Callithrix jacchus: one gene and its partners. The protein of the gene in region 1 interacts with the protein of each later gene in a biochemical or structural test. Links are inferred from orthologs where the notes say so. Each region holds a gene or a part of one and is shown in the gene's direction. Other genes may lie near its edges.

Region 1 (3,703 bases):
GACCGCAGGCATCTCAGACAGATGTAAGCCGGGATGAGGGCTCAGCAGGCTGAGACAGGCCCCCATAAGAGGGTTAATAGGACACGGTTTCTTCCAGAATTAGTTCAGCAACACATGATGTCCACCTGGGGCAGGAGCCAGGTGGAGTCACAGGGCCACAGAGATAAAGGAGACCAAGCCCTTCCCTGTGCCAGGCCAGTGCCATGGGGATGCTGGTGGGAAGGGGGCCCATCCTCATGGAACACTCCACCTGGTGGGGTGGCAGGCAGGACTAGGAGGCAGTGCACAGATGCCTGCCATGGCCACACTGCTGTCACGTGAAGCAGCACCCAAGAAAGGGCAGGCACCAGGTCCTGCCAAGGAGGTCTCAGTGGCCTCAAGGAGAAGGCAGCTCCCTGCTGCTCACCCTGCAAGAAGCTGGCACCAGCAGAGGCAACCCATGTGGTCCAGGTGACATGCGACCTCGCTTGGTGCCACAGGCCCTGCCTCTCGGTGGTACCTTCCTTTCTTTGCTGCAGGGATGGTAGATGTGGCTCTGCTGGGCCAGAGCTGCACTTCCTTAGGACCTGGTTTTCTGAGAGCTTTGCTGTCCTGAGGTGTGTTGGTAGAAAGCCGCCTGCCCACCCAGTGTGGGCGCAGATGAGTGCAGTGCCTACTCTGTGTCTCTGTTGGAATATGGAACGTGTGAAATGGAAGGGCATGACAGATCCTGTCTCCCCCTGCAGAATTCCTACCTGGTCTTAGCGGGCCTCGCTGATGGGCTTGTGGCTGTGTTTCCTGTGGTGCGGGGCACCCCAAACGACAGCTGCTCCTACCTGTGCTCACACACGGCCAACAGGTCCAAGTTCAGCATTGCAGATGAAGACGCCCGGCAGAACCCCTACCCGGTAAAGGCTATGGAGGTGGTCAACAGTGGCTCTGAGGTCTGGTACAGCAATGGGCCGGGGCTCCTTGTCATCAACTGTGCCTCCCTGGAGATCTGCAGGCGGCTGGAACCCTACACAGCCCCCTCCGTGGTGACGTCGGTCGTATGCAGCTCTGAGGGCAGGGGGGAGGAGGTTGTCTGGTGCCTGGATGACAAGGCCAACTCCTTGGTGATGTACCACTCTACCACCTACCAGCTGTGTGCCCGGTATTTCTGCGGGGACCCCAGCCCCCTCAGGGACACGTTTCCTGTGCGGCCCTTAGATATGGAATCCCCGGGCAGCCACACGGCCAACCCAAAGGAGCCCGAGGGGGACACCATCGCGGATGTGAGCATCATGTACAGTGAAGAGCTGGGCACGCAGATCCTGACCCACCAGGAATCGCTCACCGACTACTGCTCCATGTCCTCCTACTCCTCATCTCCACCCCATCAGGCTGCCAGGTCCTCCTCAAGCCTGCCTGGCTCCCCAGAAAGTTCTTCCAGCGTGCCTTTCTCCACTGACTATGAGGACTTGGACAGGCTACACGAGCCTGGCGCTGCCTCCGACAGGTCTGAGCATGAGCTGACGCCCATGGACGGGGAGACCTTCAGCCAGCACCTGCAGGCCGTGAAGATCCTTGCTGTCAGAGACCTCATTTGGGTCCCCAGGTAAGTAGGTGAAGGCACTGTCCAGGCCGTGCCCACTGCTCCTGCTCTGTGAGCAGAGCAAGGAGAGCCCCTGGCTTCCTTAAAGATCACGTGGGGACTCAGCAGGGGCTGTTCTTCCAAGAGGGTTGGTTCCCTCCATTGGGAATCAAAGCGACGTTTTTCGCAAATCTAAGAGTGGCCGCATCAAAGCTCATTGCCTGCCAGAGAGCTTAAGGTACCACACAAGGAAAGCCACAGTCAACTGTGATTCAGTTTCCACTGGGAAAATTCTCCTCTACTTTGGGGTCTGTCCCCTCCCTGTAACTTAATCCCTTAGCACAAACTGCACGTCTGTAGCCTCCCTCCCGCGCCTTTCTGCACATTGGCCCCACTCCCCTGAGAGCGTGGCTGCGGACAAAAATGCTTCCCCTTCTGGGTTTTGGTTTCTTAGGCACGGTGGAGATGTTATCGTCATTGGCCTGGAGAAGGATTCCTGCACCCAGCGGGGCCGAGTCATCGCCGTCTTAAAAGCCCGAGAGCTGACTCCACATGGGTAAGGCTGAGGGGCAGCTCCTTTAGGACCCAGGCAGCAGCATGAGCACGGAAGGCCCCCGCAGCCAGTTCCCTCACTGTCCATTCTCACAAACAGTGGATCCACCAATGTGGCCGTAAGGCAAAGTGGGGACAAGATGGGGTCCCCCAGGCAGCCCCTAGTGGCTCTGCACTGGCCATGGCTGCCTATTTCTGGAGTACCCAGTGTACCTGTAGCTCAGGTACCCTACCTAACAGATGCCTCCAGAGCCAGAGCTCAGCTGCAGCTGAAATGCAGAGGCATCCAGGCAATTGGTTCCCTGTTCTTCCTGCCAAGCAGGAAACCCTGCCCAAGGTGCCCGTCTGCCCACACAGCACCTGATGGAGCCTGCAGAATACCCATCTCCAAGCCTGGGTCTCACCTCCTGCCCTTCCTGGGCTGAGGCATGGTTCAGTATACCCATCTATGGGTGGGTACCCCCACGAGGCATGCCAGTGTCCTCTGCAAGGGTGTACTGGACAGAGCGGCCTGTCCAGGACATGGTCTATGTGGCTGGAGTGATGTGAGGCTGTGCCAGCTGCAGCTCCACACCGTGTTTACTCCCCTCACTTTGACAACTGAGCCCCACATGGCAAATCTCTCTTATGAGAAGCCCTCAAGTGTGTGTGTGTGTGTGTGTGTGTGTGTGTGTGTGTGTGTGTACCTTGGAGCTCTTCCATTTTGCACTAGGCCTGTTTCCCTGCAGCATGCGTTATCCCCATCCGTGGGCAAGTGGGTTTTTATTTCATCTGGAGCATAAGAGGGTGAAGAAACCCTGGTCAGTGTGTTTCTCCCAGAGCGGGACCATGACCAAGGCAGCAACCATGACATCCCACTCCCGTGCCCACCAGCTTTGAACCTTTGCAGTGAGTCCTGGGCCAGTGACCCTTGCTCTGTAAGTGATTCTGGAAGCAAGATCTGGATGTGCTCCTGAGCTCTGGTGGAGCCCGTGGATGGCAGCCAGGAGCTGATGGAGTTGCCAGCTTGCAGGTCGGGCTTCTGGAGGAAATGGGTGTGCAGCACCCAGGTCCTTGGCGCACCTGCCATTACCATCCTAACCTTTAGCTGTTGCTGCTTTTCTGTCCCCTAAAGCCAGATTTTACCTTTTTCCCACCACAGGGAGAAAGAGGCCCCAGAAGCCAGTCTAAAGGGGGCCCTGGCAAGGCCATGTGGAGTAGAGGCCTCTGGACATCCCAATTTGCAGGAGCGCCTTGGCGCTGTGCAGGCCACACACACACAGCACAGAGGAGGAAGGGCAGTTAGTAGGTGCTCAGGGTGGGGCACCCCCAGGGCAGGGAGGCCACACTGTGGCCCAAAAGGAAACTTGCTGCGCATCTACCGGTCCTGCAAAACTGTCCAGTTTCCAAAAACGTACTGCTGACTGGGGCAGTAGGTTTCCCATGTAGTATATGATCCTGCATTTCCTAAGGAGAGAAGAATCACAGGGAGCTTAGTGGCAAGGGAGTTGAGTTAAATGCGGTCATGAGCCATTCACAAGCAGACATTTGGGTCGAGGGTGTTTTCAAGACCCTTTGGGGACCGAGTCAAGGATGCCTGATCTGATTGCCTCTGTGGCC
Region 2 (3,703 bases), on another chromosome or scaffold:
AACAGTTAACCTAAACATTTGAGGTACTTGGTCAGAATGCATCGGGTGGGCTGAGCACAGTGGCTTATGCCTGGAATCCCAGCACTTTGGGAGGCCGAGGTGAGCAGATTGCTTCAGCCCAGGAGTTCCTGACCAGCCTGGCTAACATGGCAAAACCCCATCTCTACAAAAAATACAAAAATTAGCCAGGCATGGGGGCGCATGCCTAACGGCCCAGCTACTTGGGGGGCTGAGGTGGGAGGATCACTTGAACCTGGGAGTTCAAGGGTACAGTAAGCTGAGATCACACCACTGCACTCCAGCCTTGCGGGCATAGTGAGACCCTTTCTCAGGAAAAAAAAAAGTATAGGGTGTTTCTATTTGCCGTATTTATGTAGGTAGCCATTGGAAAGGGAACATGGCTGAATTGGTTCGAAAAGACTTGGTCCCATGAGGGCCGTTCTGTGGCATGACACTGTTTGTGCCCTAAGATGACATTTGGGGTATAAAGGCATTTAGCCCATGGTGCAGAGGGAGATAGAGGGGAGCTGCTTCCTGAAATTAGGAAGACAAAGGTGATCACTGAACTGGTCTTGTTTGGGAATTTTGGAGACCAGTTTGACTGTGCTCTCCACTTGAACCTTACCACATTCTCATTTACAGGAATGGAAAACTGGAAAGAGGAAGGCCGAGAGAGATGAGCTGGCGGGAGTCATGGTATTTTCCACCATGGAGCCAGAGGCACCTGACTTGGACCTAGTAGAAATGTGAGAGGCGCTGCCAGGTTTTCCTTTTCCTCAATCCACAACCTCCTTTGGCTTTCAGGCCTCAACCAGGATAGCCGCAGCTGAAACTCAAATTGTCAGACTAGAGTTTTAGGAAATAAGTGGGCTTTGTAGTCCAATGACAAGGGAAATATCGCTTGTACATAGAAGTACTGTCTTTCTAACCATAACATCAGATTAAACTTCTTTTACCTTGAAGCCAGTGACTTCGTAGTTGACGGTGTTGAGTAGTGTTTCCAATAGTGTGATGAAACCAGGCGGCACGGAGCCGCCTAAAACCCACACAGTATTCAGACAGCAAATCTCTTTGAACATGGCCTTGAGGAGGCAGTCTCTAACCTGCTTTTTCTATGTGGTTTTTTGTTAATCTATTGATTTTATTATTTAGTTTTTAAATACAGGCTCAGTTGAAACTTTGGAGTAGTTCCTTTTCTATTAAGGACTTATAAGAAATTTGTGTTTTTTAATTTTAAGCTTTTTTATCATAAAATTATTGCGTATGTGTTACCAAAAGTATAGACAAGAAACACACACACACACACACACACACACACACACACACACACACACACAAACATAACCCTTCAACCACCCAGAGAGAAAATCAGTGTTAATATGTTAGTGTATAGTCTCCCAAGTCCTCCTCTGTACACAATTACAGGAAAGATTGTTTAAACAGAAATGACCTCACACTCTCCATTTTGTTTTATAATCTGCTTTTCTCATCTAACAGTATTGTGATCTTTTCAGGTTGGTAAATACGCTTTGACATCCTTGTTAAGAACTGGTACCTTGGGCCGGGTGCGGTGGCTCACACCTGTAATCCCAGCACTTTGGGAGGCCGAGACGGGTGGATCACGAGGTCAAGAGATCGAGACCATCCTGGTCAACAAGGTGAAACCCCGTCTCTACTAAAAATACAAAAATTAGCTGGGCATGGTGGCGTGTGCCTGTAATCCCAGCTACTCAGGAGGCTGAGGCAGGAGAATTGCCTGAACCCAGGAGGTGGAGGTTGCAGTGAGCCAAGATCGCGCCGTTGCACTCCCGCCTGGGTAACAAAAGCGAAACTCCGTCTCAAAAAAGAAAAGAACTGGTACCTTTAGGGTCACTTAGCTGATTATGCATCCAGGTTTTTGTCTATTTCGTGGAGTACTTGGAATGAGTGACCAGCTGGCATTAGCAACCCCGTTATTCTTTTATAGATTTGATGGTCCCTCCAGTGATTAGAATTTTACTAAATGAGATATTCAAGAAGTTATTATTTACTTTAGAATAATTATAATTAAAATTCACAAAGAATTGAAGAGGAAGAAAGGAAGCAAAGTTAAAATAATAACTGCTTTTTAAGTAGTTCTTCAAACGTCTGTATCAAGCCTGTATTTAAGGCTAACTTAGTGCCAGGGCAGTTGTTACCATGCAGGAGAACAAGTGTCTGTGGTTATGTTTGGCCTACGTGTCCCTGATCGACAGCAGTGCTGTTTCTCCTGCTCATGTGACTGATGGCTGCCTTTGCCCACAGAGAGCAGAAGTGCGAGGCCGTCGGGAAGTTCACCAAGGCCATGGATGATGGTGTGAAGGAGCTGCTGACCGTGGGGCAGGAGCACTGGAAACGGTGCACAGGGCGTAAGTCCACTCCTCACAGCCGATTGGGCTGTAGGTGGTGATGCAGGCTCAGTTTTGTGTCCCTGATCATAGAGGGAACCTGATGCCTTGAACAGAAATGTGTTTGGTGGATGGCAGTAACGTCCCTCCTGTGACTGCTTAACCTCACTTCACCCAAGTTAAACCACAAAAAAATTGACTAACAAAGCCAGGTTAAGAAGTCTCATAAGGAACACCATGTTCACTTAATTAGGTCCAGTAATTTAGGGCTTTATAATCTTCGGAAAATTTATCATTTTTGCCTGTTTTGAGAGTGCTTGTCACTATATTTAGTCTCATTTTATTTTTAATCTTCATTTGGTAAGATGTTGTATATTTGACTAAAGCCATAATTTTTAAGGAAAAAAAAAGTATAGTTAGTTATAGAAAATATGTCAGAGCAGAAGCACTGCCGAGGGGAGGGTGTCACTATGAGTCCCGGCTTTCTGCCCACGCTGCCCTGTCCCTGAGAGCTTCCTGCCTCCCTCTTTTTCCTTTGTGTGTAGGCTGTGGTTCTGCTGAACGTTTTTCCTGTATTCCCCAGAACTATGCAGCTTTGTCGCCACACATGTGGCCCAGGATAGAAAAACAGTCATGTATCCAGCTGTGGGGCTAATGCTGCGGGCTGCTGCCCTGTTACCCCCTCAGGCACAGAGGCTGCAGAATGACTTGTCAGGCCCTGAAATGCTGGGATCCCACTGCTGTTGAATGCCCAGATGTCTTTGACTACCATAGAGTACTAGAACTTTCCTCTCCTTTCTGTCTGGTCCGCCCTTGTTGCTATGTCTCAACCTCTGGAGAAAAGGGACTTCTAATCTATCACTAAGAATTTTCTGGCCTTCACCTCCTAACACTGTACAGAAATATTAGTTATATTCCATTTTAAAAATTTTTAATGGTTTATACTTTGAATTATGAGTAATATATATCAGCCCTTTGATGCTCAGCAGAGGAAAAGAGATCTGTTAATTTTTTTTAAGGTGGGGTTTTTATACTAAAGGAAAACAGTCAGAATTTGAAATCCAATAATAATTTTGAAGAGCAGAAAACTAAATGTGGAATGACTCATAGATGAATTAGTAAGATAGCACAGGAAAGACAATGGCAATATTACTGTTCATTCAATCCAGATCTGAAAATCCAAAGCCTTACATCAGGAGTCAGCAAACTATAGCCGGAGGGCCAAATATGGCTTGCCACCTATTTTGTAAATAAAGTTTTATTGGAACACACCCATACCCATTTATTTATATATTGTCTTTGGCTACATTTGTGTCATAATGGTAGAGTTGAGTAGT
Region 3 (4,447 bases), on another chromosome or scaffold:
GGTTTTTCTGATTACCTTGGCTTTTACTCTGAGGTGAGGAGCCATTGAGAGTTTCTGAGAATAAATGGTATGATCTCCCTTATTTAGGATTGCTGTAATTGCTGCACTGAGATAATATGTACATGAGAGACAAGAGTAGAAGCAGGGAGACCAGAGAGGAAGTTATTGTAGTACTCCAAGTGCAATCTTACCAGGTAGCTTGAACCAGAATGGTGGGGTATAATTGGGAAGAATCTAGATAGATTCTGAAGGTAAAATTGATGGGATTTACTAATAGGCTGGATCTAGGTAGGCTATGAGAGAAAAAGAGTTCAGGATGATTCCAAAGTCACTTGATAGGCTTTCAGACCACTCACAAAATGTGTTTTGATTTCGTTTGTGTCATGACAGAGTATTTTTAATAAGGTCAAATAATCCCCTACCCCAATAGTTAATTAGGATTTAGAATGAGTTCAGAGGGAATTGGGATCCAGCCTTAAGGGCTTCAACTCTGTTCAAGTATTTAAACTGCTTTGATCTCTTTGATTAAAGGTGGTGGTTCAACTTTAAACTATTATTATCTATCATTTTCTGTGCCTTGTAGATTTTCATCCTTGCAATGAGAGGCATAGAGCTATCAGGAGAGGGACCAAAGCCTCACTTTTTAAGTAGTCCAGTCTTTATACTCTCAGCTCTACTCCATCTTTTGTCAACTACAGCTCATGCCTGACCTAGAGGCCTTCTGCATCTTTTTGTTAACAGAAGATTTTTAAAAGTTGAAGACTCCTTAATACCAATTATTTCACTCAGAAGTATTATCATTATTATTTTTTGAGACAAAGTCTCGCCCTGTCGCCCTGGCTGGTGTGAAGCAGTTGGCGAGATCTTGGTTCACTTAACAGGCATAATTTTAATAGCAAAAATTAAAAACCCCTTCATTAAGCCCAGCGTGTAATCCAGCACTTTGGGAGGCTGAGGTGGGTGGACCGATGGAACCCAGGAGGTCAGGGCTGCACTAAGTCGTGATCGTGCCACTGTACTCCAACCTGGGTGACAGACCCAGTCTCAAATTCAAAATAGAATGGTAAAAATGAAATATATTCACCTTGCTTCCCACATCTAGCTAGACAAGGAGAGATGGAATAGCTTTTTCTTTTTCAAAGCTTCAGTTGCTGTAGGTGCTTTCATTACTCATCTCAGGAAAGAGTGGTAATAGGAAGGTCAGGTGCGTGTAGTCTGCCTAGAAGCTGTACTGCCTTGTGTTTTACATAAGGCCGTTTTCTCCCCATATCACAGGACTCAAATGTCGTTGTTCTTGCTTTGAATTATGGGTGCTGGGAGAAACTAAACGAACCCATTACTGAGCAATACACCCACAGCCCATCGACCGATAGGAACCTTCGCGTGGGGGGAGTTGGTTACTTTTAGTCTGCACGGAGAGGCGGGGCCTCGCAGGGCGGAGCTGGGGGTGGTCTGTGGGTCCGCGCGCGCTTCGGGTAGTTCCTGGGTCTGAGGAGCTGACGAGACAAGCGGCAGACCCGGCAGACCACATTAAGCGCTACGTCTCTGCGTGCGCCCCTCCTGGCGCCTCAGAGCCTTGCGCTCGTGGTCCGCGCACCTCTTCCTCCGGCCGCGGCTGCTCCCTCGCTGGCCCGGCATCCCCGAGCCCCGCGGGCGCCGCGCCTGCCCTTGTTTGGCCACGCGGCAGCCGCGGTGTTAGCGGGTCCTCTAGGGTTGCTCCCGCGGGCGTCAGAGGCGGGGAGGGCGGGCTCCCGCGTAGTGACGGCAGCGCTTGCAGCCGCAGGAGCGCTCCATTCGCCGCCGCCGGAGGGGCCGGTGACCTCTCGGCTGCCCCACGTCAGAAGCTTAGATGGCTCAAGCGAAGATTAACGCTAAAGCCAACGAGGGGCGCTTCTGCCGCTCCTCCTCCATGGCCGACCGCTCCAGCCGCCTGTTGGAGAGCCTGGACCAGCTGGAGCTCAGGTGAGCGGCGGGCTGGCGGGCTAGCGGGCTGACGGGCGGGCGGTCTCGGGCGTCCTGCTAGCTGCGCCGCGGTTCGCGGACGGAGGCCGTGTGTGGCTGGCCGGGGTCTGGGGCACAGTGAGGCGGCGGCCGCAGAAGTTTCCTGTTGAGATTTGTGGTGGATGGACGTGGAGCAGTTTTGTTTCTCGGATTTTCTCCCCTAGTCCGACAGAGGACGCGTTCGATTTAAGCTAAACCTGTGAGGGCGTAATCAGTGGCCACACTCTGACTTACCTGGGTGTTGGAGAGTGGGAAAAAAAATCAGAGGATATAAAAGTCCCGGTGAGATTCCATGCGATTAAGGACTGTGGCAGCCGGGGTCTGCAGAACTTCTAGAACCTTCTGTGTGGCCCCAGATGTTTTTAACTTACTCTTTTCCCGTATGCGTTTTTAAAGGAGGCAGCAGTTTACAGTGGCCCTTCACGTGAAATTAAGTTTCCCTGCTTCAGAGCACTTCGGAGCAAAAATGGAAAAAAACAAAACCAACCCCGCGATCCATTGAGAGCAGATTAGAGAGGGGTGAGGGGTGGGTGGTAGGGTTACTGGGTGTTTAGTGCAGTGAAGACGTTGCTGCCTCCCCTGTCTCCCCTAACCTCGCTGGCGGTATTCAGCCGCTCCGTTAGTTTCTCCGTACTGGGCACCTCCCTGCATGGAAGACTAAGTGATAGTCTCTGGCCTGAAAGCATGAAAAGGTAGTTTTCTCCTTTTCTTGCTTAAGATTTTATTAGGTAATATAGAAGTAGACGTGCGTAGAATTTCGAAACAATTTAATGTTAATAGATTTATGGAAGGACTTTAACGGTGTATTGAAAAGTTTTATATACTTCCTGTTGAATGTTTGTTTCAAGTTCCTGTGAAATTTTTGTGAACAAGTGTAGTTAAAAGAAAATCGTGTTAGGCACCTGCAATCCCCTGAATCTGTACACAGGAGTTGGTTCCATCTTTTTCTCTAGGTTGTGCATGAGCAGAGGCATGTGAGCCAAAAAGTTGGGGAAACACTCTGTGTGTGTCTTTATCTCCCTCCATTAGTATACCCAAGCATGAAGTGTCCGTTTGCCGAGAAAATACTTCAATAACCACGGTATCTCTTAACTAGTGAGGCACTGTTACTGTTACTACTGGGAGAAAAGAGCCAGAGAGGGAGAGATTCTCCACTCACGATAATTTCATGGATGGCAGCAGAGAAACCTCAGCCCTACGCCGGGTTTTGGGGTTCCACTCAGAATTAGGCAAGTGGAAGAGAGAAGTAATGCTTCCTCATGGATTTTCTATGTACTAGCAAACCTGACCCATTCCACTCCCAGGAAAAGTAGAGCGAAAGCAGAAATTAGTGGCTTCAGTTACTTGAAGTCCCTCCAACTGATAATGTTTCTCCTTAGGGAGCCACGTAACAAGTAACCCACACTTCTCCATATCTTAAGAATGTTAAGGGCATGTTCTCAACCACTTCACTCTGGCTCTCCCTTAGAAAGAAAAGATTTTTTCCTAAAGGAATAGGGAGGATGCTACTCCACCCTGCCTTCCTTCAAGCGGAGTCATTGTCCTCCAACTTGAAATGCCTCACATGTGGTAGGTACAAAAGCACTCTGAAGTGCTCCTCTTTAAAATAAAGCCTCAGGTTTTGAAGATTATTATATTCTAATGTTTGATTAATGTAAAATGAATTCTGATTACTGCACATCACTGATTAAATTACAACTTGCTTAATATTTGAGTTGAGAAAAGTCTGATTAATATGTGGCTGTTTGTTTCAAGGCCTTTTTTTTTTAGTAGTTCTAGACTTTTGTAGGCTTTTTTTCTTCTTTTTAAAAAAGTAGTACTGGCTGAAAAGGATTTCTGAAGGTAAGCAAAAATAGAGAAAAAATGCTAATACTGATCCTATTAAAGTTTTTTTGAAACCACATGGGCAATGGCACAGAACACTACACTATTAAAACGAGAATCATGAGTACAACAAGGTTGATTTTTAAAAGAAACTAGGAAACTCTTATGTAATTTTGCTCTAGTAGTTTGATTGTATGTTGAGTAATAAAGTAGTGTAACTGGGTAGAATAAAACCTTACAGTTTGTACTTAGCTGTGTGCACTTAACGTTCCCTAACCACATTGGTCCTATCAATTGAGTAAGAAATTTCTTCCCTATGAAACTGAAAATAGGATTATGCCAAATGTTTTGTGACCTGGAGTATGAACTGACCTACATGATATTTAAAATGTTTGACAGCAGTTCTACTAACTGTTAAAGGTTTTTATTTATCTCTAATGGAATTTATCTAAACACTAGCCTTTTTTCTTTGGACTGCATTTTGTCTTCTGTATTTCTTCCTTCTAAAGGTGATTCCCTTTTCTCGGTTTTTATGATCAATTCTCAATAGATTCTGAGTTTTGCATTCCTCATCGGCTCAAACCATCTTACTTATTGGTACTTTTAAACAATTATTGTAATT
Region 4 (3,703 bases), on another chromosome or scaffold:
CTCCAGTGCCAGCTGGTGTAGTGAGCACAGCCTCTGCTGTGTGACCTTGGCAGGCTGCTCAGCCTCTCTGAGCCTCTATCTCCATCTGTAAGAGGACAATAGTAGTCTAGGATGGGGCAGTACATGGCAGTACCCATGCTCGGTGGGGTGTTCTCAGGCCTTCCCTCCACGGCCACTTTCCTGCTGCTGCGGACACAGCAGGCTGGAGAGCCATGCGGAGGAGCGTGGGCAGCCTGTACCTCCTGCCACTGCCAAACCTCATACCAACCCGATCCACAGATCCACTATGTGACGAGCTGTGCCGCACGGTGATCGCAGCCGCCGTCCTCTTCTCCTTCATCGTCTCGGTGCTGCTGTCTGCCTTCTGCATCCATCGCTACCACAAGTTTGCTCACAAGCCGCCCATCCCCTCAGCTGAAATGACCTTCCGCCGGCCTGCCCAGGCCTTCCCGGTCAGCTACTCCTCGTCTGGCGCCCGCCGGCCCTCACTGGACTCCATGGAGAACCAGGTCTCCGTGGACGCCTTCAAGATCCCGGTGAGGGTCCCTGCAGGGCAGGGAAGACCCCTGTACCCTCCCCAGCTGCCGTCCAGGGAGGGAGGCCAGCTGGGGATACAGAGGCCGTCCCATGAGGGGCTGCTGATGCTGGCAGACAAGGCCCATGTTCTGCCCCCATTTCTGCAGGGCACTGTGTGCGGATAGTCTGTGGGGTGGGACTATGATGAAGTGCTGTTCCCATCCAGGTGAGAGGCAGTGGTCAGGGCCGAAGCATCAGGCAGGGGAGCAGCAGTGTGAACAGAGGGGCACTGAATCCAGAGGCAGGTGCCTCTCTGGGGAGCCTGGCTTACAGGTCTGCATATGCTGCTCAGAGCCTCCAGGCTGTGGCAAGCACCCCAGATTCTCCAGGGGCTCAGGGAGATCCTTGTCACATTGACACTTGTCCATGGGGGCTCCTTTAGGGGGCTTGCCTTCTTCCTCCCCTGTCATCCTCACACTTTTCTCCCCTCTTCTTCCCCTTCCCTCATTTCCAACATAGGAGGATCCAAAGTGGGAATTCCCTCGGAAGAACTTGGTTCTTGGAAAAACTCTAGGAGAAGGTGAATTTGGAAAAGTGGTCAAGGCGACAGCCTTCCGTCTAAAAGGCAGAGCGGGGTACACCACAGTGGCCGTGAAGATGCTGAAAGGTACCTGCCAGGCACAGGCATAGTACACCTGGGGGAGTCTCTGGAGTTGTGGGGGTTAGGCCCGTCTTGCCAGCATGGGACCTCCAAAAGAACCCTCATTGCTGTTCTAGAGAGGCTGAAGTCGGGGAACCCCTACCATAGGCACATGGGCCACATGGGCCTACAGAAGCAGTGAGGCCTTTGCTCCCCCAGAAGGCTATAGAGGTGCTGCTGTGCCAGTGCCACTGAAGGTCTAATATCCGAACATTCAAAAAGCCTTTTGGTTTTAAGCTGAGAGCTGTCCTCACTCCAGTCTTTCCCATTCATTGTCTCCTGGGGCCTGGTGAAGAGACCATCAGTAAGGACTGGCCCTCAATCTCAGGAGACCCCCATGGGCCTATCTTGCCCTCATGCCTAGTCATGCCACAAGTTTGGCTCTTGATGGGCACATGCACCTGCCCACAGAGGCGTGCATGTTTGAGGCTGGTGACTGCACTGGGCCACCCCCACTTCTGTGGCCATATCCCAGCCCTGTGGACAGCCAGGCTGCATGGTGGTGAGGGACAGTGGTTGGTGTACACGAGAATCCTTTGCAGCAGTCGGGGGCTGCCCAGCACAGGGTGCTTTCACACTCCTACCCAGCCCCTCAGACTGGGTTCACCTCCAAGCCAGTAAAACCCCAGACTATCCAGGGGCACAGGAAGACCCTTGGATTTCCAGTGCAGCCACACACAGCCCCAGGCCACCCACAGCTGGTCCAAGGGGTCCTGAGGCCCCAACTCCCAGATGTCCTCTCCCTTCCAGACAAGCCTTCAGGACAGAGGAGGTGGCACAGCACAGCTGGGCAGTGAGACAGCTGACCCGGGAGGGATGGCTTAGCCATGTGTTCTGACTCTTGGAATACCTTCAGGCCCAGGCACCTGCTGGGTGTTCCAGCACAGCTCTGGCCGCCCTCAGGACACATGTACTGGGCAGGCCACCCCTAGGGTGCCTCATCCTCTTTCCATCATGCCTCTACAGTTAGCCTCTCTAGAGAATCATGCTTTCATTAAGAATAAGCCAGCATGGCGCTGGGCACAGTGGCTCACGCCTGTTGTCCCAGCACTTTGGGAGGCCAAGGTGGGCAGATCACCAGGTCAGGAGTTCAAGACCCGCCTGACCAATATGGGGAAATCCTATCTCAATTTTTTAAAAATGCAAAAGTTAGCCGGGTGTGGTGGCATGTGCCTGTAGTCCTAGCTACTTAGGAGCTGAGGCAGGAGAATCCCTTGAACCTGGGAGGTGGAGGTTGCACTGAGCCAAGATGGCCCCATTGCACTCCAGCCTGAGCTACAGAACATGACTCTTTCTCAAAAAAAGAATAAGGCAGGTGTGCAGTGCACTGGTAACACTGCTTTATCTCAGGTGCGAACATTGGTCTTCTGTGGTAACTGAGGGAATGTGAGCAGCTGCCATGCATGTGTGTTGGATACATCAGCAGGATGGGGGACTCCTGGCCTCCAGGCCAGCCGTCTCAGATGGGGACAGAAAACAGGGGGACTGGTCGCGGTGTGTGGGGTCCTCGCTCAAAGTTCTCCACCTTCTCCAGGGCCTCTCCCCACAAGCGGATGTGTGGGTACCTCAGGGAGTCCCCTCACCTTTCCAGAAGGATTAATGAGGGGGATTTCTATGGACCACTGTCTTCTAAAGACAGCGACTGCAGGGACATAATGTTACATACACAGGTGGCCCAGACCTGGGACATTCTGGGGAAAGATCCTGCCTATGTGGATGCTGGCTCCTTGGGGTGCTTCTTCCTCAGGGCGGATGTGGCCCCTGTTCACTGACCCCAAAGGCTGGGAGAAGCCTCAAGCAGCATCATCCTTGCAGGCCTCTCTTTCTGAACTTGGGCAAGGTGATGCGGTCTGTCCTGACCCGGTGTGGTCATAGAAGGGGCTTCCAGGAGGGATTGTTTGCAACCTGCTCTGTGCTGCATTTCAGAGAACGCCTCCCCGAGTGAGCTGCGAGACCTGCTGTCAGAGTTCAACCTCCTGAAGCAGGTCAACCACCCACATGTCATCAAACTGTATGGGGCCTGCAGCCAGGACGGTAAGGCCAGCTGTAGGGTGGGATGGGCAGCCCTGCACCCAGGCTGGGGGCTCCAGGCAGCCCTCTTCTCCCTCTTTCTCCCTTCTCTGGCTGCTCCTGCCCTGTTTCCTGTTCTCCCACTTCCTGGAAGCCTGGCTCAGGCCCCAGCCTGGAGCTTGTGTCTAGCTGAGTCCACTGACTGAGGGAGCACTTTTCATCAGAGGAGCCCGGTGCTAGAGGCACTCCCTGAGCTTGCAGGGCTGCTCAGAAGTCTCTGGTGTAACATCCCAGGTGTCCTCACCCAGTTCCAGGCTGAGCCTGCAGGGCCCAGGTACTCGGGTACCCTGAGTACCACAGGGCACTAGGTGTGCTGTGACCCCAGGTGACCCCAACCCCACCCTGCATGGCAGGAGCATTGTCACCATTTCTCAGATAAAGACCCAGGAGACTGCCCTGGTTTGTTGGTTTTCCAAA
Region 5 (4,230 bases), on another chromosome or scaffold:
AATATTTAAAAAATATTTTTAGGACATTCAAATGTTATTTCAGAGCTTTTTTTTTTCTATTTTGTTAACATGCTCTTCATGTGCTGAAAACTGAACATTCAGTGATTCACTCATACTCATTCAGTAAACAGTTTTTGGGCCCCTAAACTTGGTTGTGCTAGGCAATGGGTATTCAAAGTTTAAGCCCTAAGTCCTTACAATAGTAAATAGCACAGCTGCATGCCACTAGCTTCTTACACACAGGTGGGTGCCATACAAGCAAAATGAAAATAATTTTACCCCTTCCCTCTATAATCTCAAGTGCACTTTCAATTTTTGATACTAGAGCCTTATTTGCTTAAACACCTTACATCTCTTCTTCTCCCCTCCTTGTCTGTTTTTTTTTTTTTTTTTTTGAGACAAAGTTTTACTGTTGCCCAGGCTGGAGTGCAGTGGCGTGATCTTGGCTCACTGCATTCTCCTCCTCCCAGGTTCAAGCAGTTCTCCCATCTCAGCCTCCTGAGTAGCTGGAACTACAGGTGTGCACTACCACACCAGGCTAATTTTTGTATTTTAGTAGAGATGGGGTTTCGCCATTTTCGCCAGGCTGGTCTCAAACTCCTGACCTCAAGTGATCCTCCTGCCTCTGCTGGGAATACAGGTGTGAACCACTGCACCCCGCCCCCTCCTTGTTTTTTAAGTTATAACATTAGGTGGGGAATAAAACATTGTAAAAGTAGTTCTGTCAACTACTTTGGGGGCTGTGGGCCAGTCATTTAATCCAGCTGAACCTCACTTTTCTCTGTTGTGAATAGGTAATACCCTCCGTGCCCTGTCTATCTCAGTTGTTACGGGGATTATGAAAGAAGTTACATCTGACATTAACATCAAAAATTTAAATATCCAGTGAAAGTGTAAATGGACATTATAAAACATTAAAAGAAAATACCTAGATATGTGTGACTAGTGCATCACTACCTTGGGTTTCTGAAGCTCCACCGAGAAGTTTCACGAAAGTTGCATTCCATGGAAGTTTGCTTCCATGATGGATTTTTTTTTTACTTTGTACTCAGCTCCTGAAAAAGAAACTTCCTGGGTTTTCTTTTTCCCTCCTACGGTTTTGCAGCGGCCGAGCTGCTTCCTGTCAAGAGCCAGTCTGCCAAGGCCTGGTCTCTAGAGTCTCTCCCCCTCCCCTTTCTCTTTCTGTCCAACACTTGCTACATTGAGAGGCTGATCCTGTGCAGAAGCCCTCCCTGCCTCGACCGCGCGGCGCAGTGAGCATGCTCAGCCTCCGCGGGAAGAGGAAGCGGCCGCATCGGAGTCATGCCAAGCATAGCCCGCATGTCAGCGCTGCCGGCTTGCAGCGGGCTGTGAGCGGGGCCGGCGCCGCTTTGTCCTAGGAAACGGGCTGCGCGTTTCTCTTTTTCACCCTCTTCCATTTCCAGGAAGGACTTGTAAGGACTTCTGAAACGCTTTTTTCATACTCGATCGGTGATAAAGTACATACAGCGTCTACCAGTAAGCCCTTGAAGGGTTTCGTGTGAGCTCGATTTTTTTTGTGTGTGCCTTTTAAAAAAAAAAAAAAACTTTTGCATACTTTGTTTTGATAGTCTGAGGCTGGGCCTCTGCTTTGTGAAGTTGAAGAGCCAGGAGCTACTCAGCAACAATTGATTTTTGAAACTTAACTCTTTTGGGGCGAAAGCAAAGAGCTGGTTTTCTTTGCTAGCCCAATAAATGCTATTTATGAAGATGGACCTGTTGAACTATCAGTACTTGGACAAGATGAACAACAATATCGGCATTCTGTGCTACGAAGGTAGATGTCCCGCTGTAGAATTACTGCCCTTTGCTCGTCTCGGCCACTCCTCCTCAGTGTGCTGGGTGCCTGCCTTCTGAGCGCCTGCTGTCCTTTTCGGGGCGGTAGGGCGCTGGAAAGGCCGGCGTTTTTTAGGTTCGGTTCAGCACCGGGTGTGTTCGGATCTCAGGCTGCGAGGGGCGGTGGAGGGGGCTGGACGGGCGGGCGGTGAAGTAGAAACCGTTCCAAGTTTGCTTTATGCTTGTAACGTACTTATTCTTTTTGATTTCCGCTAATACTGTCTTTAGGGGAAGGACTTGTAGGAAGCTGTTAAAAGTTGAGGCTGTGTTTGGGGGAGGGACTGGTGGGGATTGCACCGTCCACTGTACCCTGCTGTGGGCCACAGCTCCCCGCGGCTCACGGAGGGAGAGCCAAAGTTAAGAGAGTTTCTGTACTCGCGAGTGAGTGTCCCAAACAGCGGAGAATGTCCCTCTCCCGCGCAGGGCTGGAAGGGCAGGGAGTCAGCAAGCACAGGCCGGCTCTTTGTCTCGCTGGCGCTTCCTGTGCAGCCCGGGGAGCGCTGACATTGGCGGGGGTGGGGGTTGGGGGTGTTCCTCGAGCTCTGCCTCCCTGTGGGAGCGATTACACAACAACACCCCGACCCCCAACCTGCCCCAAAAAAGGGAGAGAAACCCGCGCTGAGTTCTTATTTATTACCTCCCACCGCCCGCGAGGTGCTTCCCCCGCGGCCTGTATTTCAGGCTGTCTCTGGTAGCAGTAAGAGAAAATCTATTTCTTAATCTGTTGGAACATCCTCTACGTGCGATTTGAAAAAGTGGCAATGGCCTGGGTTTGCCGCCGAGAGCCATCTCCAGGGGAGTTCGGCCTGGCAGGAAGAGTATTTTTTGTTGTAACCACACACACATCCGGGACTCTCTCATTCAGCAGGAGCAGTTTCCATTTTTTCTGCAGTAGTAAACGGGACATTTCTCTTGAAGAAAACAGAAAAACTTAGGAGGGAGATTGACTTCTATTTTTTTACTCTAAAAACTTCAGGCCTATTTCCTAATCAGTTGAAAACTTACCCTTTACCGAGTATTTTTCCCCTTCAAAGAAAAAAAGAAACCTCATTCACGTTTTTTTAAAAAAACTCTGTGGATAGGGATCTCATATTTAACGTTTTTTAAAAAGGTATTTGTTTACTCCTAGTTCTTGTTATGAGAATTTTGGTGAATTGCTTTCTTTGCATCTGATGAGTTAAGTAACATCTTGCATCTCAACTCACTTTAAAAAGGCAGACGACTTTAGAAAGCCATCAGCAGCCATTACTGGGCTTGTTTCCTGTGAAATTCACATATTGCAGTCAGGGTTTTGTTTTTGTTGTTTTTTTTAACCATCTCCCCTTCCCCCAACAAGAAAGAAAAACTTTTTAGGCAATTTCTGATGTATTGACCTTGCCAACAAGTAATATGATATTTTAAAAACAAAACAAAACATAATGGCCTGAGAGAAATATAAGATTGTTAGGAAATTGATACCAGATAGCAGATTAATTTTTCCTGTCTCTGATTGGTGAGGACCAGCTTATGGACAGCGAGCCCAGGTCGAGTTGTTGTATAGCATGCAACACGCTGGAGAGTTGAGGGCTTGGCTTCTCTTCTCTTCTTTTTTCTCTTTTCTCTTTTTCTCTTCTCTCTTTTCCCCCTCAGTATTTGGGAGGAAGAAACTTTGATTTTGAAAGTTGAGTAGCTATATGGGATAATGGGCTAAAGTTTGTTTGGTTTAAACATCTGCTCCTATTTTCCTTATTATGAAAGTTAACATTATTTTAACACCAGAATAAATACACAGGAAATGAAGGAAAGCACAGCAAAATTTGAGTGGTGTTTATAGTGAGTTGTTGATGTCCTAGTGGTTTTCTCAGTGTAAACACTGCACACATCTGGTCTGAACTCCAGAGGGTGTTTTGAAGATGGGCATAAATCATACACGGGATTTTTTTGTAAGAAAAGTTGGAAAGGTTATGTTTCTTTTAAATCCAACATTTGGACTTGGGGAATATTCGTTTTAAACATATCAGCTCCCCAGCATTCCAGGGAAGTTGTTTGGAAAATGGAATGTACTCTTGGTAGGCAACATTTGATTTCATTTAGGGCACAGTAAAGTTTCATGCCCCTTAAAATAAGGGACAAATTAATTTCTTGTCATTTTAGTTTTAAAAATTAAGATGCAGATGGTTAATTATTCTTACTAGCTAAATTATACCATCTTCTTTAGTTGTATTAGACATAGCTCTACTCCGCAAAATAAACCATGTGTCTGTACCATCTTTCTTAAACCTCTCTCATGACTTAATACACAAATAGAACTTTTTAGCCATTTACCTTGTAACATATAAGGTCTTCCTGATTGACTGACTCCATATTGCTTAGATGTGGACTCCCTCCTTGATAAGT
Region 6 (4,137 bases), on another chromosome or scaffold:
TCTAGGCTATATGCAGCATTGACTGTAGGATAAAACGTGGCCCAGGAAGATACATTAGAAAAAATTACAATCCATGTAGGAGATGGTGTTGGCAAGAACAAGGGTAGTGGCAGTAGAATAGAATTTGTTAAGTTTTTAAAGTAGAGTTGTTAAGACCTGTAAATGAACTGTATGTGAAGAGTGAAGGTAAAAAAATTTAAATAGGCACTCTGGGATTTTGGTTTGAGTAACTAATATGATGACCTTTACTGAGATGTTTAACACTGGAGGAGGGATATCTTTGGTAAGAAAAATCAAGATTTTCATCTTGAACTTTACGAGTGAAAAGGCTTTTTCTGCTTTTTTTTTTTCCCCTTCATTTAAAAGTTGCAAAGAATTTAGGGATAAGAAAGCATTTAAATTTTCAATTTTGTGAGCTCCTTACATTTTAAACTAAGTTGGGGACGTTGAATTTCCATTTAACAAGTATTTATTGAGTAACTACTATACGTCAAGGTCTACGTGATGATATACCAAGATGAACTAAGCATTCAAGACCTCTGTTCTCAGATTGACTTATTTTTTTATGGAAGGGAGGTGAGACGATTGGTGGGTTTTTTGGTTTTTGGGTTTTCTCCTTTTCGTTGTCTTATTAAAACTTAACACTTGAGTAGCCATCTTAATAACTACACTGTGCTTCTGGCAGTTGGGCCCACCGTTCTAAACGCTGTCGTAAATACTGACATCTCCCCTCCCACAAGAACTAACGTTTTTTAAATAAAAAAATTTTAGCAAACATTACGCATACAACCTTTGCTTTGAAGTGTAATATTTTTGCAGGAATGGTACCTTTATAAAGATCGTGGTTGCCCCGTACTTATTTGTTCTTTCTTCATATCCAATTAAATGAAAACACTAGTTTTTCCGAAGCCCAACTCTCTAGGCTTGTTGGTTCTAGCTCAGGATGGAAGCAGGAGTCGTTGGATTTAAACAGTTTGGTGTAATCCTTTTCCACGCTCTAACCCGCTAGCCGGGGACGTGGTGTCGGCTACCCGGGGCTTTCCGTCCACGCAGTACCGGAATGGAGTCTGGGAGGGGGTCGGGGACGGAAAAGACGGAAGAGACATTAAGTAATTGGTTCTTGAAGGTATAAAATGATGTTTAGGGTCTACTCTAAGGCACTGATTTCAAACGCCCGCCCCCTGGGCCGTTTAGGCCCCGCCCCTTATTGCCCTTACGCCAACTTCCACTTTGGCCTCTGCGGATTGGTTGTTATCTCCGCCTCAGAAGCGCTTGGGTTTTGCTTCCGGGTCATAGGCCTAGCCCTGAACGCAGAGGTTCCTGGGAGCCAAGCGTAGTAATGGCGTCTGTATGATATTCGGAGCCTGCTGCATCGGACCTCGGCCAATGTGAGTGACAGGAGGATAACAGATTATCTTCTTTATCCCGGTAGGACGGGAAAGGGCAGTTGGGATTGGAGTTGGTGGCAGAGTGCTGAGCGCGGGCGGCGGAGGCCCTGAAGCAGCTCGCTAGGGGCGGAACCGAGTGCCTGTCAGGCGCGTCCGGAGCTCTAGGCCTGCGGTTAAGATCGCAGCGTAAAGGCAGCTCGCCTACCGCTTAAAGCGAGCCTCAGGTCCACCCTTCACTACTCCTCGCATCCCTGTAGTGCTAGGCACGGGTGAAGAGGTAGCGAGTTTCTGGTTATAGCCAAAGACTAGCTCTCCGGAGGCCAGAGTGATAATTCTGTTGGCGTGTGGGAAGGCGCGGTGCCCCCAGAGCCAGATAATCCTGTTTCTTCTTTGAAGACATGCCTCTACCCTTTTCGGAAATCAAGAGAAATAGACCCCTGCCAAAAAAAAAAAAAACGAAAAAACAAATCCTCCCAATTCACCCACCCTCCCACACACTTTTCCGACACTTACAGCGTCTTAGTAACTAAATCTGTTAGACAGTATTCTTGTGATTGCGCCAAGCAGAAAATAAAGAATGTGTCCCTGGTTTTTGGTATTAGAATCCTCTGGGGCGAGGTTCTTGTTTTTTTGAACAGTCCTTAAATTATAACCCACAAGAGATCTGAGTTATAATATGATGCCTGTTGTAGAAGAAAATTGGATCAACAAAAGGTTGTTTAAGAATTTTTTTTCTATGTAACTGTCATTGAAGTTTAACACTTTTGCCTAGGGCACTTAATAACTTCGTCAGTGATTTTTTAAAAATTGTTTTTGGCTTTTGTTTCTGTTAGTCTATTTGCTATTGTGTGAAATTTAGATAAAATACAAACCTTAGAGAGTTTGGTGGAGTAAGGTTGAGCTGAGAATTTTTAAAACTCAGTCATGGCAGTACGGTATTTTATAAGGGTTTTGACATGTCAAGTGTCGTAATTCTTACAATAATCCTAGGAGGAATATCTCCATTCCGCTGATGACAGAAAGTTAAGCTAGGTGACTTCGTGAAGCCCACAGAGTCAGAAGAATAGGGATGCAAACTCAGATCTTCGTGACAGAATTTTTTGTACTAAGACATGTCTGGGAATCCATATTCCTTGTACTGCCTAAGCCTCATAATTTTTTTTCTTGAAAACTTTTGTTTAAGAAGATTAAGCAAGTTTTGGGGAATGAGTTTTAGAACTTATATCACCAGGATGGATATTGATTAATACTCTAAAATGAGAGTTCGTAATGTTGGAAATAACTTGATACTATTTTTCTTCAAAGCATAAAAGATGACAACTGCAGCCAGGCCAACCTTTGAACCTGCAAGGGGTGGAAGAGGAAAAGGAGAAGGTGATTTGAGCCAACTTTCAAAGCAGTATTCAAGCAGAGACCTACCTTCTCATACAAAGATAAAATACAGGTAATAAGACTTTTTTGTTGTCGTTCGCAAAACAAGACCAAATCTGTTAAATGACATGGTCATGATATAGTAGTATGTTTGAGTTATGTTACTTATTTATTTTCATAGACATAGAGTGCAACAGGATGTTTAACACTAAAATTTTGCTCTATGATTTTAAAATGCAAAATTCCTACTAACCAGGAATTTTCATATGTAGATAGAGCAATAAATAATATAAATAATAATGCCTCAGAGAGACTATGCACAATCAGCACCAGTCAATATATTAAAAATGTTACTGTTCTGAGTTGATATAATACTAATTACAGATATTTTAATCTGTGTAAAGCCGGCTGGGCGCAGTGGCTCACGCCTGTAATCCCAGCACTTTGGGAGGCCGAGGCGGGTGGATCACGAGGTCAAGAGATCGAGACCATCCTGGTCAACATGGTGAAACCCCGTCTATACTAAAAATACAAAAAATTAGCTGGGCATGGTGGTGTGTGCCTGTAATCCCAGCTACTCAGGAGGCTGAGGCAGGAGAATTGCCTGAACCCAGGAGGTGGAGGTTGCGGTGAGCCGAGATCGCGCCATTGCACTCCAGCCTGGGTAACAAGAGCGAAACTCCATCTCAAAAAAAAAAGAAAATCTGTATAAAGCCTTATCATGGGAAAATACTGAATTTGGATTTCTCGAAATATTGGGAACATCACAGGAGTGGCTGTTAGTAACCCTCAGATTAGCTTATGGTCTTGTCTATTTCCCTTTTTTATGCTTGAAGGACAAAGTCTCATTCTTGAATTGTCTTCCATTACTACAGTTGTGTGTGTGTGTAAGTAACATTTTTGCCCTGGCTCGTTTTTACTTTAGACAAACTACTCAGGATGCCCCTGAAGAGGTTCGTAACCGTGACTTCAGGAGAGAGTTGGAAGAAAGAGAGAGAGCTGCTGCAAGAGAGAAAAATAGGGATCGTCCAACCCGAGGTACCAACACTATCCCAGACATTTGTCTCATAAAATTATCTTTTTGATAGTTTTTCTTTCATGTAGCAACTGGAAAATGTTAACCATTTGTTTGCTTTTACACTTGATGTGAGTTATAATATTTAAGTCATTAGAGATGATAATAACAAATATTTACCAAAAGCATATTTGCCAGGCACTGTGGATATGATTTCTGTTGTCATAAATGCTTTTAATGTGGGCTCTTTGTACCCACAGGTCCCTAAAACATTGTAAGAAATGCAGTATTTGTTTTACTAAGTTAAATGATTTTTGTTTCCCCCAGAACATACAACCTCCTCTTCAGTGTCAAAAAAGCCAC
Region 7 (3,371 bases), on another chromosome or scaffold:
TGGGGAATGGTGAGGGAAGGGGTCCATGGACAACTTGCATTTGCCCTGACACCCACCCTCCCTGCAGCTCTACACCCTCGCCGTGATAGGCCCAGGGCCTCCAGATCGCCAGCCAGCCCAGATCTCTCGCCGCTACTCGGACTTTGAGCGGCTGCACCGAAACCTGCAGCGGCAATTCCGGGGCCCCATGGCTGCCATCTCATTCCCCCGGAAGCGCCTGCGCCGTAATTTTACTGCAGAGACCATTGCCCGCCGTAGCCGGGCCTTTGAGCAGTTTCTGGGTCACCTGCAGGCAGTGCCGGAGCTGCGCCACGCCCCGGACCTGCAGGACTTCTTCGTGCTGCCAGAGCTGCGGCGGGCACAGAGCCTCACCTGTACTGGCCTCTATCGTGAGGCTCTGGCACTCTGGGCCAATGCCTGGCAGCTGCAAGCCCAGCTGGGCACCCCCTCTGGCCCAGACCGCCCCCTGCTGACCCTCGCTGGGCTGGCTGTGTGCCACCAGGAGCTGGAGAACCCTGGGGAGGCCCGGGCTTGCTGTGAGAAGGCCCTGCAGCTGCTGGGGGACAAGAGCCTCCACCCTTTGCTGGCACCCTTTCTGGAGGCCCATGTCCGGCTCTCCTGGCACCTGGGCCTGGACAAACGTCAATCAGAGGCTCGGCTCCAAGCCCTGCAGGAGGCAGGCCTTACTCCCACACCACCCCCCAGTCTGAAAGAATTGCTCATCAAGGAGGTGCTGGACTAATCTAGGACGCTTGCCTAGATTTAAGGCCACTATGGGGAGAGAGGCTGCCCCAGAATGCAGGGGAAGGACCTGATGAGGACAGAATAGCTGGGAAGTTGCAGGGGGTGCTGGGAGCCCCTAGAAGTTCCAAAAGAGAATGTGAAGCAGATCAAAGAAACTTACTTGTGTTGAGCTGGGCTCAGGATGAGCTTTGGCCGGAGTTGCCCTAGGATAGTACTATCCTAGTACAGGGAAGAAGTCTGACACAGCCTCTCCAGTTTATAAACAAACAGCTGGGAGCTGTGGCACAGGTCAGGGGGCAATGTTCCCTTGTTGGTTGGCCCCCAAGCCGGTGAGGCCTCCTGGCTGAAGGTCAGGTACTCTGCCCCTGGAGTTGAGGGAGGAAGGCAAGGCTGCAGGTCTGGCCCAGGGGAATTAAAAGCCAGCCACTCCAGTGGTATCTGTCTCTTTATTGGATGTGAGGGCCAGCAGGACTGTAACTCCTGTCCCAGGAATGGTAGTATTGAACCAGCTAGGTTATTGAACCCCTAGGCCAAGCTGGTACCTCTGGCTACAGCTTGCTGTCTGAGACCCGGGGCTTCACTCGGATCACACCCTCTTGGGCACAGGTCACAGCTAGGACTCCATCCCGACGCCACAGTCGCCCATGGACCAGCCCCCGAGAGCCACCTGTGGGTGAGGTGAAGGGTAAGGATGGTCTCTCTACTTTAGAACAGTCAAATGCACTTCTTTGTTTTTTTCTGAGACAGAATCTCACCATGTTGCCCAGGCTGGTCTCAAACTCAAGGGATCCTCCCACCTCAGCCTCCTGAGCAGCTGGGATTACAGGCACACATGACCATGCCCGACCTCCAAGTGGACTTCTTGAAAAGGGTCTGGCCCAGGACAGGGCTGCCCAACACAAGGGTACAGTGAGTGTTGTGGCTGCTCCAAATGCCCCTTCATGAGCTTATGGACAGTCATTGAGGAGTAACTCCTCCCACAGGAACCCCGCTTGACATTTTAAAAGCACTTTCACATATTCGCTCACTTCCTCAAAAAAATCACAGAGGGAGGAGCTCTGAGAACAGTCTCCTTCAACAGCTCGGCCAAGCAGAACTTCTGTACCTCTGGCAGCTTGTGTTAGGAAACCTATCGGCTCCCTGTATAATAAGTCAAGCCAGGTTCTCCAAGCGGTAATTCATGAAAAATACCCCTATTACCACTACCAAGGGGAAGAAGGGGCTCAGCAGAGAGGACCTGAGGCCATGAGGTCTGGCCTCTTCCCTCCCCACCTGAAGATTCTTTCTCCCTTGCTGGCTTGGGGCCTGAGTTTGATGTTTATGAGGGATGATTGCTGGTTTCCCTTACACATAGCAGAGCTCACTCTGTCTCGTAGTAGCCAAGAGAAGCTGTTATGTGTTGTCCAGTTTTCCAGACCATGACTGAAATCCAGAGGGGGTCAGGAATTTGGCTCCAGGCTGAAGCCAAATATGAACCCATGTCCTCACCTCAAAGTTATCAGTCTTGGACTGTGATGCTGTTGATACTTGAGAGTACCCCTTATCTGAGTATAAAGAGTCCATAAGTTTTGTCCTTGGCTTATCAAGCAAAGCTTTTCTTCATTTGAAATTTACTCTCTTGGAAAGGAGGTCAGGGTTCTCAAGCTAGACATTAATGAATGAGTCTCAATTCTCTCTCCCCGCTACAAGGAATGTCCTAGCAATGAGGCCCTTAGAGACCACTGAATGCCCTGAACCCAATCAGGTTAATCAGAATCACTTAGAGAACTGAAAAATACAGTTTCCTGGACCTTATCCAAGACCTACTGAGTCAGAATCTTGAGGGTGGAATCAGAATCTATTTTGAAAAACCTTCCCCAAATGGCAGTCTGATGGGCTGCCGGGTTTAGATACCACTGCTGTAATGTAACCCTTTTTGTTTAGATGGGGAAACTGAGGCTCAGACAAAAGATGCGATTTGCCCAATGTCATACAGAGAATCTGAAGAGGTTCTGGGACTAGAAATAGGTCCCTGAATTAAAGTGAATGACATTCCCACCATGTTCTAGAAATTTAGAGCAGAGCTGTGTCCCGGCCTCACCCTCTCATTTTGAAGATGAAGATGCCCACGCCTGGGAGGGAAGGAAAGGAGGTGACCTGTGCAGCGCACAGGAAGTCGGGGAAAGTCAGCATCACCCAAGAAAGCAGGCTCCCTGCCACCCAAGGTCAGTGCCCTTGTCCCACATGGCCCCACACTCACCAGCCCAGGGGCTCTCGCACTCATAGAGCATCCAGTGGTCAGCTCGGAAGGGGGCGTGGAACCACATGGAATGGTCCAATGAGACCATGAAGTGCACCTTGTGCTGGCACTGGTGAGGCAGCATGGCAGTGCCCAAGAAGGCATAGTCAGAGATGTAGGCGGCCACGCAGCAGTGCATCTTCATGTCGCCCTCACCTGCAACAGATCCCCATCAGCCCTGGGCTCCTGGGCTTTCCAGCTCAGGACCTGCAGGGAGGTAGGGAAAAAGGGACTCCCATGCATGGATGTGCAGACTGGTTGCTGCACAAGAGCACTTGGCCTACTCTGTGTGTGTGTGTGTGTGTGTGTGTGTGAGAGAGAGAGAGAGAGACAGGGGATAAGCGAGATG

What was found.
Region 2: the proteins of LRRK1 (region 1) and SNX9 form a complex in vitro, tested with the Homo sapiens proteins (2 studies listed by BioGRID and IntAct, with this or other methods). The link is inferred for Callithrix jacchus from reciprocal best matches to the Homo sapiens genes LRRK1 and SNX9.
Region 3: the proteins of LRRK1 (region 1) and BAG2 form a complex in vitro, tested with the Homo sapiens proteins (2 studies listed by BioGRID and IntAct, with this or other methods). The link is inferred for Callithrix jacchus from reciprocal best matches to the Homo sapiens genes LRRK1 and BAG2.
Region 4: the proteins of LRRK1 (region 1) and RET form a complex in vitro, tested with the Homo sapiens proteins (2 studies listed by BioGRID and IntAct, with this or other methods). The link is inferred for Callithrix jacchus from reciprocal best matches to the Homo sapiens genes LRRK1 and RET.
Region 5: the proteins of LRRK1 (region 1) and VGLL4 form a complex in vitro, tested with the Homo sapiens proteins (2 studies listed by BioGRID and IntAct, with this or other methods). The link is inferred for Callithrix jacchus from reciprocal best matches to the Homo sapiens genes LRRK1 and VGLL4.
Region 6: the proteins of LRRK1 (region 1) and CWC15 form a complex in vitro, tested with the Homo sapiens proteins (2 studies listed by BioGRID and IntAct, with this or other methods). The link is inferred for Callithrix jacchus from reciprocal best matches to the Homo sapiens genes LRRK1 and CWC15.
Region 7: the proteins of LRRK1 (region 1) and SNX21 form a complex in vitro, tested with the Homo sapiens proteins (2 studies listed by BioGRID and IntAct, with this or other methods). The link is inferred for Callithrix jacchus from reciprocal best matches to the Homo sapiens genes LRRK1 and SNX21.

Annotation. Positions count from the first base shown.
Region 1 is NC_133507.1:8,921,415-8,925,117, reverse strand, and holds part of LRRK1 (leucine-rich repeat serine/threonine-protein kinase 1), read left to right. Parts: intron 1-725; coding exon 726-1,576; intron 1,577-2,006; coding exon 2,007-2,108; intron 2,109-3,703.
Region 2 is NC_133505.1:164,754,440-164,758,142, forward strand, and holds part of SNX9 (sorting nexin-9), read left to right. Parts: intron 1-642; coding exon 643-746; intron 747-2,283; coding exon 2,284-2,387; intron 2,388-3,703. UniProt on the Homo sapiens protein: Involved in endocytosis and intracellular vesicle trafficking, both during interphase and at the end of mitosis. Required for efficient progress through mitosis and cytokinesis. Required for normal formation of the cleavage furrow at the end of mitosis.
Region 3 is NC_133505.1:65,540,591-65,545,037, forward strand, and holds the start of BAG2 (BAG family molecular chaperone regulator 2), read left to right. Parts: upstream 1-1,477; 5' UTR 1,478-1,849; coding exon 1,850-1,962; intron 1,963-4,447. UniProt on the Homo sapiens protein: Co-chaperone for HSP70 and HSC70 chaperone proteins. Acts as a nucleotide-exchange factor (NEF) promoting the release of ADP from the HSP70 and HSC70 proteins thereby triggering client/substrate protein release.
Region 4 is NC_133513.1:35,800,598-35,804,300, forward strand, and holds part of RET (proto-oncogene tyrosine-protein kinase receptor Ret), read left to right. Parts: intron 1-279; coding exon 280-536; intron 537-1,035; coding exon 1,036-1,183; intron 1,184-3,142; coding exon 3,143-3,250; intron 3,251-3,703. UniProt on the Homo sapiens protein: Receptor tyrosine-protein kinase involved in numerous cellular mechanisms including cell proliferation, neuronal navigation, cell migration, and cell differentiation in response to glia cell line-derived growth family factors (GDNF, NRTN, ARTN, PSPN and GDF15).
Region 5 is NC_133516.1:68,852,437-68,856,666, reverse strand, and holds the start of VGLL4 (transcription cofactor vestigial-like protein 4), read left to right. Parts: upstream 1-1,250; 5' UTR 1,251-1,713; coding exon 1,714-1,795; intron 1,796-4,230. UniProt on the Homo sapiens protein: May act as a specific coactivator for the mammalian TEFs.
Region 6 is NC_133511.1:45,351,517-45,355,653, forward strand, and holds the start of CWC15 (spliceosome-associated protein CWC15 homolog), read left to right. Parts: upstream 1-1,320; 5' UTR 1,321-1,428; intron 1,429-2,693; 5' UTR 2,694-2,701; coding exon 2,702-2,832; intron 2,833-3,684; coding exon 3,685-3,797; intron 3,798-4,101; coding exon 4,102-4,137. UniProt on the Homo sapiens protein: Involved in pre-mRNA splicing as component of the spliceosome. Component of the PRP19-CDC5L complex that forms an integral part of the spliceosome and is required for activating pre-mRNA splicing.
Region 7 is NC_133506.1:41,082,116-41,085,486, forward strand, and holds the end of SNX21 (sorting nexin-21), read left to right. Parts: coding exon of another isoform or gene 1-67; coding exon 68-742; 3' UTR 743-1,292; coding exon of another isoform or gene 1,293-1,411; 3' UTR 1,412-2,781; downstream 2,782-3,371. Other genes in the region: ACOT8 (acyl-coenzyme A thioesterase 8), read right to left, coding at 1,293-1,411, 2,984-3,178. UniProt on the Homo sapiens protein: Binds to membranes enriched in phosphatidylinositol 3-phosphate (PtdIns(P3)) and phosphatidylinositol 4,5-bisphosphate. May be involved in several stages of intracellular trafficking.